3 linked regions of the Callithrix jacchus genome follow. The protein of the gene in region 3 interacts with the protein of the main gene of each other region in a pairwise test. Links are inferred from orthologs where the notes say so. Each region holds a gene or a part of one and is shown on either strand. Other genes may lie near its edges. The genes, in order: BICD2, PMM1 and RAB6A.

The links.
Region 1: the proteins of RAB6A (region 3) and BICD2 interact in binary tests that used the Homo sapiens proteins (3 or more experiments, as listed by UniProt). The link is inferred for Callithrix jacchus from reciprocal best matches to the Homo sapiens genes RAB6A and BICD2.
Region 2: the proteins of RAB6A (region 3) and PMM1 interact in binary tests that used the Homo sapiens proteins (3 or more experiments, as listed by UniProt). The two-hybrid records come from large-scale screens. The link is inferred for Callithrix jacchus from reciprocal best matches to the Homo sapiens genes RAB6A and PMM1.

What each region holds. Positions count from the first base shown.
Region 1 is NC_133502.1:80,574,083-80,577,729, reverse strand, and holds part of BICD2 (protein bicaudal D homolog 2), read right to left. Parts: intron 3,412-3,647; coding exon 2,956-3,411; intron 2,244-2,955; coding exon 1,203-2,243; intron 625-1,202; coding exon 473-624; intron 1-472. UniProt on the Homo sapiens protein: Acts as an adapter protein linking the dynein motor complex to various cargos and converts dynein from a non-processive to a highly processive motor in the presence of dynactin.
Region 2 is NC_133502.1:190,158,165-190,162,262, reverse strand, and holds the start of PMM1 (phosphomannomutase 1), read right to left. Parts: upstream 2,860-4,098; 5' UTR 2,826-2,859; coding exon 2,739-2,825; exon of another isoform or gene 2,199-2,738; coding exon of another isoform or gene 2,178-2,198; intron 1-2,177. UniProt on the Homo sapiens protein: Involved in the synthesis of the GDP-mannose and dolichol-phosphate-mannose required for a number of critical mannosyl transfer reactions. In addition, may be responsible for the degradation of glucose-1,6-bisphosphate in ischemic brain.
Region 3 is NC_133511.1:67,265,474-67,269,120, forward strand, and holds part of RAB6A (ras-related protein Rab-6A), read left to right. Parts: intron 1-1,368; coding exon 1,369-1,480; intron 1,481-3,647. UniProt on the Homo sapiens protein: The small GTPases Rab are key regulators of intracellular membrane trafficking, from the formation of transport vesicles to their fusion with membranes.

The sequences.
Region 1 (3,647 bases), on a different chromosome or scaffold from region 3:
ATATACGCAGAGCAGAGACAAGCCTGGGCCTGCTGGGGTTTCATTCACAGCAAAACGGAACTGGCCCCAAAGAACCAGGTTCCTGGGGGCTGGGCTGGGTGCGACAGGAACAGAAAAAGGATCACACATGCTCTGCTATCCACCTGCCAGGCATGTTCCACGCTCCAGTACCTGCTTGTGTAACCTTGGGGAAAGCTGAGGTGCAGAAGCTGGAGGCCCCCAACCCCATGTGGCCCCCATATCGTCTCACCCTTTCTTGTTACTAAGTTGAGCACCAGTGTGCTAGAGATATGCTAGCAGCCATGCTTCCCCAATCTCGTACCATGCTGGCTCCAATGGAGCTGGGCGCAGCCAACTGAGTAGGCAAGACTGCAGGCCTCCGGGTGAGGCAGTGAGAGGCTGCGGGTGCCAGGGGCAAGTGCAGAGGACAGCTGGCCTCATGGAAGGGGAGGGCCAACAGCAGCATGGTTACCTGGTGGCAAACATGGCGCGCAGCGAGGAGAAGGTGGCCGCGTCCTCCTTGAGGGCCTTGAGCTCGTTGCGCAGCTTCATCATGGTCTCTGTAACCATGGCCTTCTCATTTTCATACTTGCTCTTTAGGTTGGCAAGGGCCACCTCGGCCGTCTGAGGGACAGACATGTAGGGCAGGCAAGTGAAAGGCGGGAAGTCAGCCTAGAGGTGCTCTGGGCGCAGGATGGGGAGCCCTGGTCTGAAGTGGTGGCGGTGCCCGGGAAGAAAGTTCCTGGGAGGCCCCTCCCTCTGACAAACCCTGGGGATAGACTCCAGCAGCTGTGCCATGGGGAGTCCTACTGCTCATTCTGACTGGCAGAGGAGGGACTGCCCCCAAACCTGCCCAAGGGACCCCTACAAAGCCCCACAATCACTCTCCAAATGTAGCTCTCACATGTTTTCCCTCTAGCCTCAGGAAGCACTATGAGGCAGTCACAGTGAGTGAATGGCAGCAGCATTTCTCACTGGCTGAGCAGCTTTGCCAAGGGGCCCTTGCTCCCCACCTGCTTGCTCCACTCTCCCAGGTGGGGACCCTGTGCAGGGGAGGGCCAGTGGCCGAGCTGATATAGAGCGGGCTGTGCCTGATGGTGACACAAGCCTGGGGGGGCTGTGTTGGGGGAGGAAGGAGGCCAAGGGGAAATACCCTTAGGCCAGCAATGGCTGACAAGTGCCCCTGCCACCTGGCGCCTCACCTGCTTGTTGGCCTTGAGCACGGTGCGCAGCGTGGTGATCTGCTCTCGCTTAGTGCTGAGCAGTGACTTCAGCTTGAGGATCTCCTCCATGAGTGCCTCCTTGTCTTTGTCCACAGCGGGGCCCAGCTCCTGTGAGGCAATGCGCTGGCGTGACAGCTCTGTGGTGCGGTCCACGGCTGCCTGCAGGTGCTTGATCTGGTCACGGATGATAGCGATCAGGTTGTAGATATTCATGGGTTCCCGACGTGGGTCACTCAGGGGTGATGGCAGTGAGGAGCCAGGCGAGGGGCTGCTATCCCCGGTCCCACCATCTGCTCGGCCAGTCTCAAGAGCCAGCAGCCCCTTGGGTAAGAGGATGGGTGAGCGGCGGCCACGCCCTTCAGGGCTGGTGCGGCCCCCAGGGCTGGTGCCTGCCCCACCCTGGCCCTCGCGGTAGTAGTCCAGCATGACACGGTTGGGTGTCTCATTGTTACACATGCACACGTGATGGTAGAGATTGGCCAGCTCCTCACTGAAGGTCACCAGTTCATCCTGGGCCACACTCAGGCTGCCCTGCGTCTCGCCGGCAACATCGCTCACCTTCTTCAACTCCTTCTCCAGTCGTGCCAGCAGCTCACGGTCCTGGTGGCTGGCCTTCTCTAGCAGGGAGACCTTCTCTGTGAGCGCCTGGCCCTCAGCCTCGTAGCGGCCCTTCTCCTCAGCATGCTGGGCCTCACGAGCCTCGTGTGTGCTGCGCAGTGCCTTGAGTTGCTCGCGGAGCTCACCAGCCTCAGCCACAGCTACATTGTACTTGCAGGCCAGGATCTCGGGCCCATTGATGTCCACCTCATAGTAGTCGCCGTCCTCATGACTGTCACGGTCCTTCTCATTGTCCAGGGCCGTCTGCCGCTCCTTCCCGGCCTGCAGGCGCCGCAGGGCACTCAGGTTCTCTGTGAGACGGGTCACCTTCTCCTGCTGCTCTGACAGGGATCCCCGCGTGTGCTCCAACTGCTTCTGCGTGTCCTGCAGTGTCGCCAGCAGGCCCGCCTTTTCCCGCTCCATCTGCAAAGGCACAGGCAGCATGACACAATGTCAGTGGCTATGGAACCCGAGAGCTTAGAGGACCCCCCAGGATAGCCCAGCGACATCCTACCCCATGTCAGGGCAGGCTATGAGCCCCAGGTTCCTTGGCCATGCTGTCAGTGAGGTGGACAGAGACACATAGGGTGAGGAAAGGATGGAATTCACACTGGGCTCTCAGAACACTGCCCACCAGTAATGGTGGTCACCCTCAATGCAGGCTCTTTCCCCACCAGTGCTACAGGCGAGCTGGGCTCAGAAGGTGGAGCTTGGGGCTGGCTGGGTGGGTAGTGGGGAATATTAGCACCCTAGCCCTCTGCTCCAGAAGACAGGACTCGGTTGCCTTGGATCAACAGGGATCCATGTCCCAGGAGGTGAGCCCATGCACGACCCTGGCAGGCCCCTCTGACTCCTGGCCTGCGTGCGGGGATCACATGTGGGGCCTGTGTATCATCACTTCACCCTGGCACCACATAGGTAACAGGGAAACAACGTGGATGCCGCAGTGCCAGGAATGCACTTCTCTGGGACTCTGTGTGCTCCTGGAGTTCCATTTACAGTAATGATGCAGAAGTTAAAACCAATGTAAGGAAAACAGAAGCTAACATCAGCAGAGTATCAGGTAAGAACTGCTCAGGGAGCCCTGCAGAGTTAGAGTGGGGACAGCATGCTGAAAGCCCCACTGCCTGCTCACCTGCATCAGCTGCTGCTTCAGCTTCTGGATCTCGGAGATGTTGAGCTCGCTGAGCAGGTCAGAGACGAGGCTGGGGGAGGGTGGTACAAGGCCCTCCTTCTTGGGCGTGGAGGTCTTGTTGTCCAGGGGCAATTTGGCCAGGCTGCCATGCTCAAGGCCGTTGACCAGGGCCTCAGCATCATTGTTGGGCTCAGCAGCGTCGTCACTGAACTTGAGGCCATCCAGCGAGACATGCAGGTGGCTGGTGTAGAAGGAGTCGTTGATGCTCATGTAGTGTGACAGCTCCTTGCGCAGACTGTTCTTCTGCTCGCGCTCCGTCTTCAGCGTCTCCAGCGCCTCCTCCAGCTGCCGCTCCGAGATCTCCTTGAGGCGGATGGCATCCTCCAGCTGGCTGTTGAGGTACTCAGTCTCCTCCTCCAGACGTTTGATCTCATGCTTGAGGCCCTCAAACTCCACCTGGGAAGAGAAGTCAAAACTTATGTCAAGGCAATGTGGAAGCTCCTTTTAGGCCCCATGAATGAAGAAAACACACCAGCACACCAACTCCTGCCACCATGACACAAGGTGAAGTGCCATCCTGGGAAGGGAGGTAGCCTGTCCAGGCCAAGGCCGCTTGCTCTGCTCAGAGATGTGGAGGCTAAGAGGGTTTTCCAGCATTAGATGCAAATGCACAGAAACGCTCAGCCTAGCCC
Region 2 (4,098 bases), on a different chromosome or scaffold from region 3:
CTCACGATCTCAGCTCACTGCAACCTCCACCTCCCGCGTTCAAGCAATTCTCCTGCCTCAGCCTCCCAAGTAACTGAGACTACAGGTATCCACCACCACGCCTGGCTAAGTTTTGTATTTTTAGTAAAGACAAGGTTTCACTATGTTGGCCAGGCTGGTCTTGAACTCTTGGCCTTGTGACTCACCCACCTCTGCCTCTCAAAGTGATGAGATTACAGGCATGAGCCATCACTCCAGTCAATTTTTTTTTTTTTTTGAGACGGAGTTTCGCTGTTGTTACCCAGACTGGAGTGCAATGGCACAATCTTGGCTCACCGCAACCTCCACCTTCTGGGTTCAAGCAATTCTCCTGCCTCAGCCTCCCGAGTAGCTGGGACTACAGGTGCGCACCACCATGCCCAGCTAATTTTTGTATTTTTAGTAGAGACAGGGTTTCACCATGTTGACCAGGATGGTCTCAATCTCTTGACCTCATGATCCACCCTCCTCGGCCTCCCAAAGTGCTGGGATTATAGGCGTGAGCCACCATGCCCGGCCATTTTTTTTTTTTTTTTTTTTTAATTTTTAGTAAAGACAGGGTTTCACCATGTTGGGCAGGCTGGTCTTGAACTTCTGATCTCCGATGATCCACCCGCCTGGGCCTCCCAAAGTGCTGGGATTACAGGCATGAGCCAGCACACCCAGTTGAAAATTGGCATGGTGACACTCATCTGTAGTCCCAGCTACTCAGGAAGCTGAGGCAGGAGAATCACTTAAGCCCAGGAGTTCGAGGCTGCAGTGAGAACTTTGATCGCACCACTGCACTCCAGAGACTGGGTGACAGAGCGAGACCCTGTCTCTAACAACAAAATAGCATCACAATCAAGTTGATTCTTGAGAAGCCAACGGTAAAAACCTGTCTCTCCTAAAAATACAAAAAATTACCCAGGTGGCATGAGCCTGTAGTCCCAACTCCTCGGGAGGCTGAGGCAGGAGAATCACTTGAAACCAGGAGGCAGAGGCTGCAGTGAGCCGAGATTGCATTATTGCACTCCAGCCGGGGTGACAGACTGAGACTCTGTCACCAAAAAAAAAAAAAATTGCTCTGGGCAAACAGATCCAGATAAAGCAGATAAAACCCTGGAGGTAAGCCACAGCACTTGAACCACACTGCCTTGGGGAGGGGGCCAGGCCTGGGATCCTGGTGTGGTCAGAGGAGACTTTACCCTTCTCTGTCATGTTTTCATTCTTCATCAGGAGAATGTGCTCATGAATATGTGTACAATTAAAAATTAACTTTCAAAAGGCAGTAAGCACATAGCCTGGCCCATAGAAAAATTAACAGGCTGTTTTTATTCAGGTTGTTATGTCTGTAAAGCAAAAGGTCAGAGGGAGGTATCAGAACTGGGTCTAGGCCCTGCCACCTTTGTTCCAGTTCTTTTATTTGTGATGGAGTCTCACTCTGTGAACCATGCTAGAGTGCAATGAGGCCATCACCACTCACTGCGACCTCCGCCTCCTAGGTTCAAGCAATTCTGCCTCTGCCTCTGTAGTCCCTCTAGCTGGGCATGCACCACCATGCCCAGCTATTTTTTGTATTTTTAGTAGAGATAGGGTTTCACCATGTTAGCCAGGCTGGTCTCCAACTCCTGACCTCAGGTGATCTGCCTGCCTCAGCCTCCCAAAGTGCTAGGATTACAGGAGTGAGCCACTTTGACCAGCCCACCTTCACTCCAATCCTACCATCTTCCTCCTGGATCACCCCTGCAGGAAGGCAGAGTGGACTGATCATTCCTTGAGCCCCCAGGGCCCAAGCCAAGGCAACTTCACCATAGAGGATAGGGAAAGGCATTCAGGACCTAAAAGAGGAGGCTAAGACCTGGGTCCCCATCAACCACTGCCTAGTAAAACCCATCCCCACTGCTCCCCGTCTCTAGACCTGTCAGTTGGTCCTTAAGGCCCCCAGACTGGAGGGTGAGTTACCCACAGGGAGGGCATGAATGAAGCCTGCTTATTTAGGCATCCAGCTGATGAGGGGGCTTTTGGGGACTCACTCAGGATGAGACCCAGTGGGAGAAAAACTGAGCAGACGTTAAGAGGCTCAACACAGAGAGAGCCTTTAGGAGGAAAACTACAATCCTATCCTCATTATGCCTCAGTGTCCTCACAGTAAACAGACTAGGCCTGCAGCCTCTCACCTCCGGGTGGGTAGAGCCCATAAAAGCATTCGAAAAGAACCCTTCTCTGCTGGGGGAGGCCCAGACCTGCAAAGGTCGAGGTGGGATGGCTCCTAGATCCTCGGTATCCCACCAGATGGTGACTGACGCTTGGCTGTGTGCTTGTGTGCCTGAACTCCCGGTTCAGAAGCCAACTCCCACCACTGGTGCGTCGTAGGGCTGAACTAGGGTGGGATCCCCGGTTCGGGTGGGGGTGCATCCGGGAGCCAGGCCTCAGTGGCGCGTGAAAGCCTCTGGGGAGGGGAGGTAGGCCCCCCGCTCGCAGCCTCCTCCCTCCAGTATTGGATCCAACTCCAGCACTCCCAAGCAGAACACAGGCAGGGACGCCGCAGGGGCAGTGACGTGGAGGACCAGGTCCCCTTACTCGCGGTGGGCAGCCCCGGATGTCAGGTGGCCGGGTAACGCCACATCCCACACTCGGTCCCGGGGTGTCCACGGTCACGCTGCTGCAGACCCCACACTCAGCCTCGGGTGTGTCCGCGTGACACCCCCGGCGGGAGCTTCCAAACTTCAGCGTCCTACCTGGCGAGCCGGCGTGAGGGTCCCGTCCACGTCAAACAGGCAAAGGACGCGCTCTTTCCTGCGGGCGCCCTGGGGGGTGACCGCCATGGCTGCAGTTACGCGAGCCGGGCGGAGTCCAAACGATGCTGCCGCCGAAACAGGGCAGGGTTAAGATTCGACGGGGCGGGCCTTTGGGGGCGGGGGCAGCAGACTGAGCCAAAATATAAGGGGCGTGGTCTCGGTGGCCCGAGGCAGGGGTGGGGCCTGAGCTGATTCTGATTACCCCTGGAGGAGGGGGCGTGGTATAGGGCGGGGCGGAGCCCCCTAGGTTCGATTGGATTGCTCCAAACAAGACGGAGGCGGGGCCTGAGCCTTGGCCCGGCAGGAAGTGAGAGGTTGAACCCGGAAGACAGGGGCGGGATGAGAATTGGCGGGTTGATGGTGATTGCTACTTGGCAGACGAGGGGCTGGGTCTGGCGGGGCCTCGACCCTGTCTTAGAGAGCCGGGGTCTCTCTCCACTCTGACAAGATTTGTAGTGATCGCTTTTGCCTTACAAATTTTGAGCTGTAAGAAATCTTCTGGACCGGGCGCGGTGGCTCACGCCTGTAATCCCAGCACTTTGGAAGACCGAGGCAGGCGGATCATCTGAGGTCGAAAGTTCGAGACTAGCCTGACCAAGAAGGGAAACCCCCGACTCTACTAAAAATACAAAATTAGTAGCTGGGCATGGTGCATGCCTGTAAACCCAGCTACTTGGGACAAGAGCGAAACTCCGCTTCAAAAACAAAAGAAAAAGAGGCCGGGCACGGTGGCTCAAGCCTGTAATCCCAGCAGTTTGGGAGGCCGAGGCGGGTGGATCACGAGGTCAAGATATCGAGACCATCCTGGTCAACATGGTGAAACCCCGTCTTTACTAAAAATACAAAAAATTAGCTGGGCATGGTGGCGAGTGCCTGTAATCCCAGCCACTCAGGAGGCTGAGGCAGGAGAATTGCCTGAACCCAGGAGGCGGAGGTTGCGGTGAGCCGAGATCGTGCCATTGCACTCCAGCCTGGGTAACAAGAGCGAAACTCTGTCTCAAAAAAAAAAAAAAAAGAAAAAGAAAGAAGTCTCTTCTGAAGGCCTTTGCTCAGGCTTTGAACTTTGCGGAATTGCCTTCCCCGAACCTTATAACTTCTGTCCACACATAAGACCCAGCTCTCACGGTCCACCTCCTTGGAGAGCTTCCCAGATTCTTTTTTTTTTTTTCTGAGACAGGCTGGAGTGCATGGCGCAATCCTCTGCTCACTGCAACCTCTACCTCCCAGGTTCAAGCGATTCTCGTGCCTCAGGCTCCCGAGTAGCTGGGACTACAGGTGTGTGCCACCATCCCCGGTTAAG
Region 3 (3,647 bases):
CAGTGGCTCACGCCTGTAATCCCCTCACTTTGAGAGGCCAATCAGGGCAGATCACCTGAGGTTGGGAGTTCAAGACCAGCCTGACCAACTTGATGAAACCCGTCTCTACTAAAAATATAAAATTAGCCAGGTGTGGTGGCACATGCCTGTAATCCCAGCTCCTTGGGAGGCTGAAGCAGGAAAATTGCCTGAACGCAGGAGGTGGAGGTTGCAGTGAGCCGAGATCGTGCCATTGCACTCCAGCCTAGGCAATAAGAGTGAAACTCAGTCTCAACAACAACAACAAAGTGCTAGGATTACAGGCATGAGCCATTGTGCCCTGCCCTTTTAAAGTTTTTTAAAAGGGGCTTTCTTTTTAATTTTTTAAAAAATTTACCAGACTACACAGATGTGGTATCTTGGGCTAAAAACAAAATCTTACATAGACAAAGGATCTGTTCATTTGGACTAGTAATATTGTTACTATACATTTTTTGATACCGCCTCAATCTGGAGTCATATCTAATAAGGAATAATTGTGCTGGCAAAATTAGAAGGTTGCATTCAAGCACTTTTTTTTGAGATAGGTGCTATATGCAGCCTTTTTTCCTTTGCACCTTTACTTTGGGTTGCTGTTTGTTTTAAAAAAAAGAAGTATGTTCATATTGTGCATTATCAAGTTTTGTAGCTTTAAAATGTTTGTGCTTACTTTAACCAAAGCAAGTGAAACCTGGTGTATTTTTTTTATAATTCCACAAATGTGATTAAAATATTAGTAGTATATTGTTTTAACTACTGTAATAAGTGTTGAAGTACTCTACTTAGAATCCAACCTTAGAAAAAATAAATTTTGTTGCAAATATTTCCTGTGCATTAAACAAATAAACTTTAGGTTAAAGTGATCACAAACTGAGGAAACGGTGCAGGCAGTGGTGTTGAAAGCTATTGAAAGGCTTTAAAAATTTTCTGGATGTGTTGGGACTTACTGGCTGACATACTTTTGAGATGCTTTCTTTGTCACGTTTGGTATGTGTAAGTGATCAAAACATTGTGGCAATGTGACACCATATTATCTGCCATAGCTGTCCTTATATTTCAAGAGGTTGTTTTTTTTTCCCAATTAAATACTACATTGTGCTCATTTGGTCATGTTCAAAAAAGTTTTTAACTACTCTTAAAAGGAACCTTGAAGATTTTATTCTTGTAATTTGTTTAAATTGCTGACAGTTGTAATCAGATAAAATGGAGTTATGTTGCAGGCACATTAAAAGTGGGGTACTAATGTGCCAGACTCCTTCCAAGTTTGAGGGCTTTTTTGGAGGGAGGTGCCCGCCACCTGGGGAGGCATTTTTCAACAACACTAACTCTCTGTCTACCCTCCTATGCCAGATGTTAACTCATTCCAGCAAACTACAAAATGGATTGATGATGTCAGAACAGAAAGAGGAAGTGATGTTATCATCATGCTAGTAGGAAATAAAACAGATCTTGCTGACAAGAGGTATGGAGTTATTTTATGTTTGTGTAATGTTTGATTTCTGTGTTATGCAGCCTTTTATTTTTGTTTACTGAAAACTTATTTCATAGGAGACATGCTTAATCCTTAAGTTTATGTCCTCCCCTACTTTTCTTTAGCATGGGAACCTGAAATACAAATGTAAACATTAAACACCCAGTCCTTAAGGGAAAATGAATTTTATTTTATTTAAGCCCATGTGTAAATAACTCTTGTGCAGGATTGTTTAGACATGAAGCCAGTAAATATTTTGCATTTTTTTAGATCTCATAAACATGAATAGTGTTTTGTTAAAGAGCAAACCCTTTGGAAAACAAGCCTTATCTTTAAAAATTATTCATAATGATTAAATGCAGACTTAGTAGTCTTCTTATAAACATTCATTGTAATTCAGTGGTGTGGGATTTTGTTTTTTGGGTGTTTGTTTTTTTTTAATTGTGTAGTTGAGCCAGACTCTGTAGTTGCACTGAATAGCTTGATTGTGATACCTTAATCAAATGAGCGAAGCGATATTCAAGTCACAGGATGTAAAATATATTAACATTCACTGTAGAACCCTTGGCTTGAATATTTGCTTTCAGCATTCTTAAGGGATTTACTGTATATTCTTTCTGCTTTAAATAGTTTTGACCATACTACTTAATAGTAAGAGCTTTTACTATTTATTATTTGTTTATTCATGAGATGGATATTGAAATTTAGGTAATGAACTTGTGATATTAATTCAAATGTTGCAAAGAAAGCCAGTGTTAAAAGACTTGTGGAGATTTCAAGCCCATTTATGCCTATGGCACTTCAGTTAGAATTGGTAGTACAGGCTCATGCGCGTAATCCCATCACTTTGAGAGGCTAAGGTGGGCGGATCACCTGAGGTCAGAAGTTGGAGACCAGCTTGGCCAACATGGCAAAAACCCATCTCTACTAAAAATATAAAAATTAGCTGGGAGTGATGGCAGGCACCTGCAATCCCAGTTACTCTGGAGGCTGAGAAAGGAGACTTGCTTTAACCCGGGGGCAGAGGTTGCATTGAGCTAAGATTGTGCCACTGCATTCCAGCCTGGCTGAGATTTCATCTCCAAAAAAAAAAAGAACTGGTAGTACAGTTGCAAAAAAAGTCTTTCTTAATTTAAAAGTAAATTCAAAGTGATTTCGTCTTAGATACCTTCCTTTTTTTTTTTTTTCTGGAGATGGAGTCTTACTCTGTCATTCATGCTGGAGTGCAGTGGTGTGATCTGAGTTCATGGCAACCTCCACACACCACCACCACCACCAACACCACCCCACCCCAGGTTCAAGCTATTCTCCTGCTTCAGCCTCCTGAGTAGTTGGGATTACAGCTGCCACCATGCCTGGCTAATTTTTGTATTTTTAGTAGAGATGGGGTTTCGCCATCTTGGCCAGGCTGGTCCTGAACTCCTGATCTTGTGATCCACCTGCCTTAGCCTCCCAGAGTGCTGGGATTACAGGCATGAGCCACCATGCCTGGCCAGTACCATCATTTTTAAATAGAAAAATTGTATATCTGAATTGTTTCCCTCTATAGCCAGAGTCATCTGAGGAGGATGGTTATAAGGATTAGTTTTTTTTATTGCTTAATATTTCAGTTGAGTACACAAATGATAGGAACTTATCAAAATTATATATATTTTTTGTTTGTTTGTTTTTGAGACAAAGTTTCACTCTTCTTGCTCAGGCTGGAGTGCAATGGCACAGTCTTGGCTCACTGCAACCTCTGTCTCCCAGGTTCAAGTGATTTCTCCTGCCTCAGCCTCCCAAGTAGCTGGGATTACAAGAGCCCACCACCACACCTGGCTAATTTTTGTATTTTTTGGTAGTGATGGGTTTTCACCACATTGGCTAGGCTGGTCTTGAACTCCTGACCTCAGGTGATCCATCCACCTTGGCTTCCCAAAGTGTTGGGATTACAGGGGTGAGCCACCATGCCCAACCCCAAATTATATTTACAATAATTTTTCTTTAAGGTAACATTTGTCAGCTGCTTTGAAATTACCATCTTTCTTGGTAATCTTTGCCAGACTATCATCTCTCAACTGCTCACATTTAAGAGAAACAGAGCTCGTTCATTCCAATGAAAATACTTCCAAATGGGTAAAAGACTTAATTTTTCTTATCATCTTTATATTTTGACCTT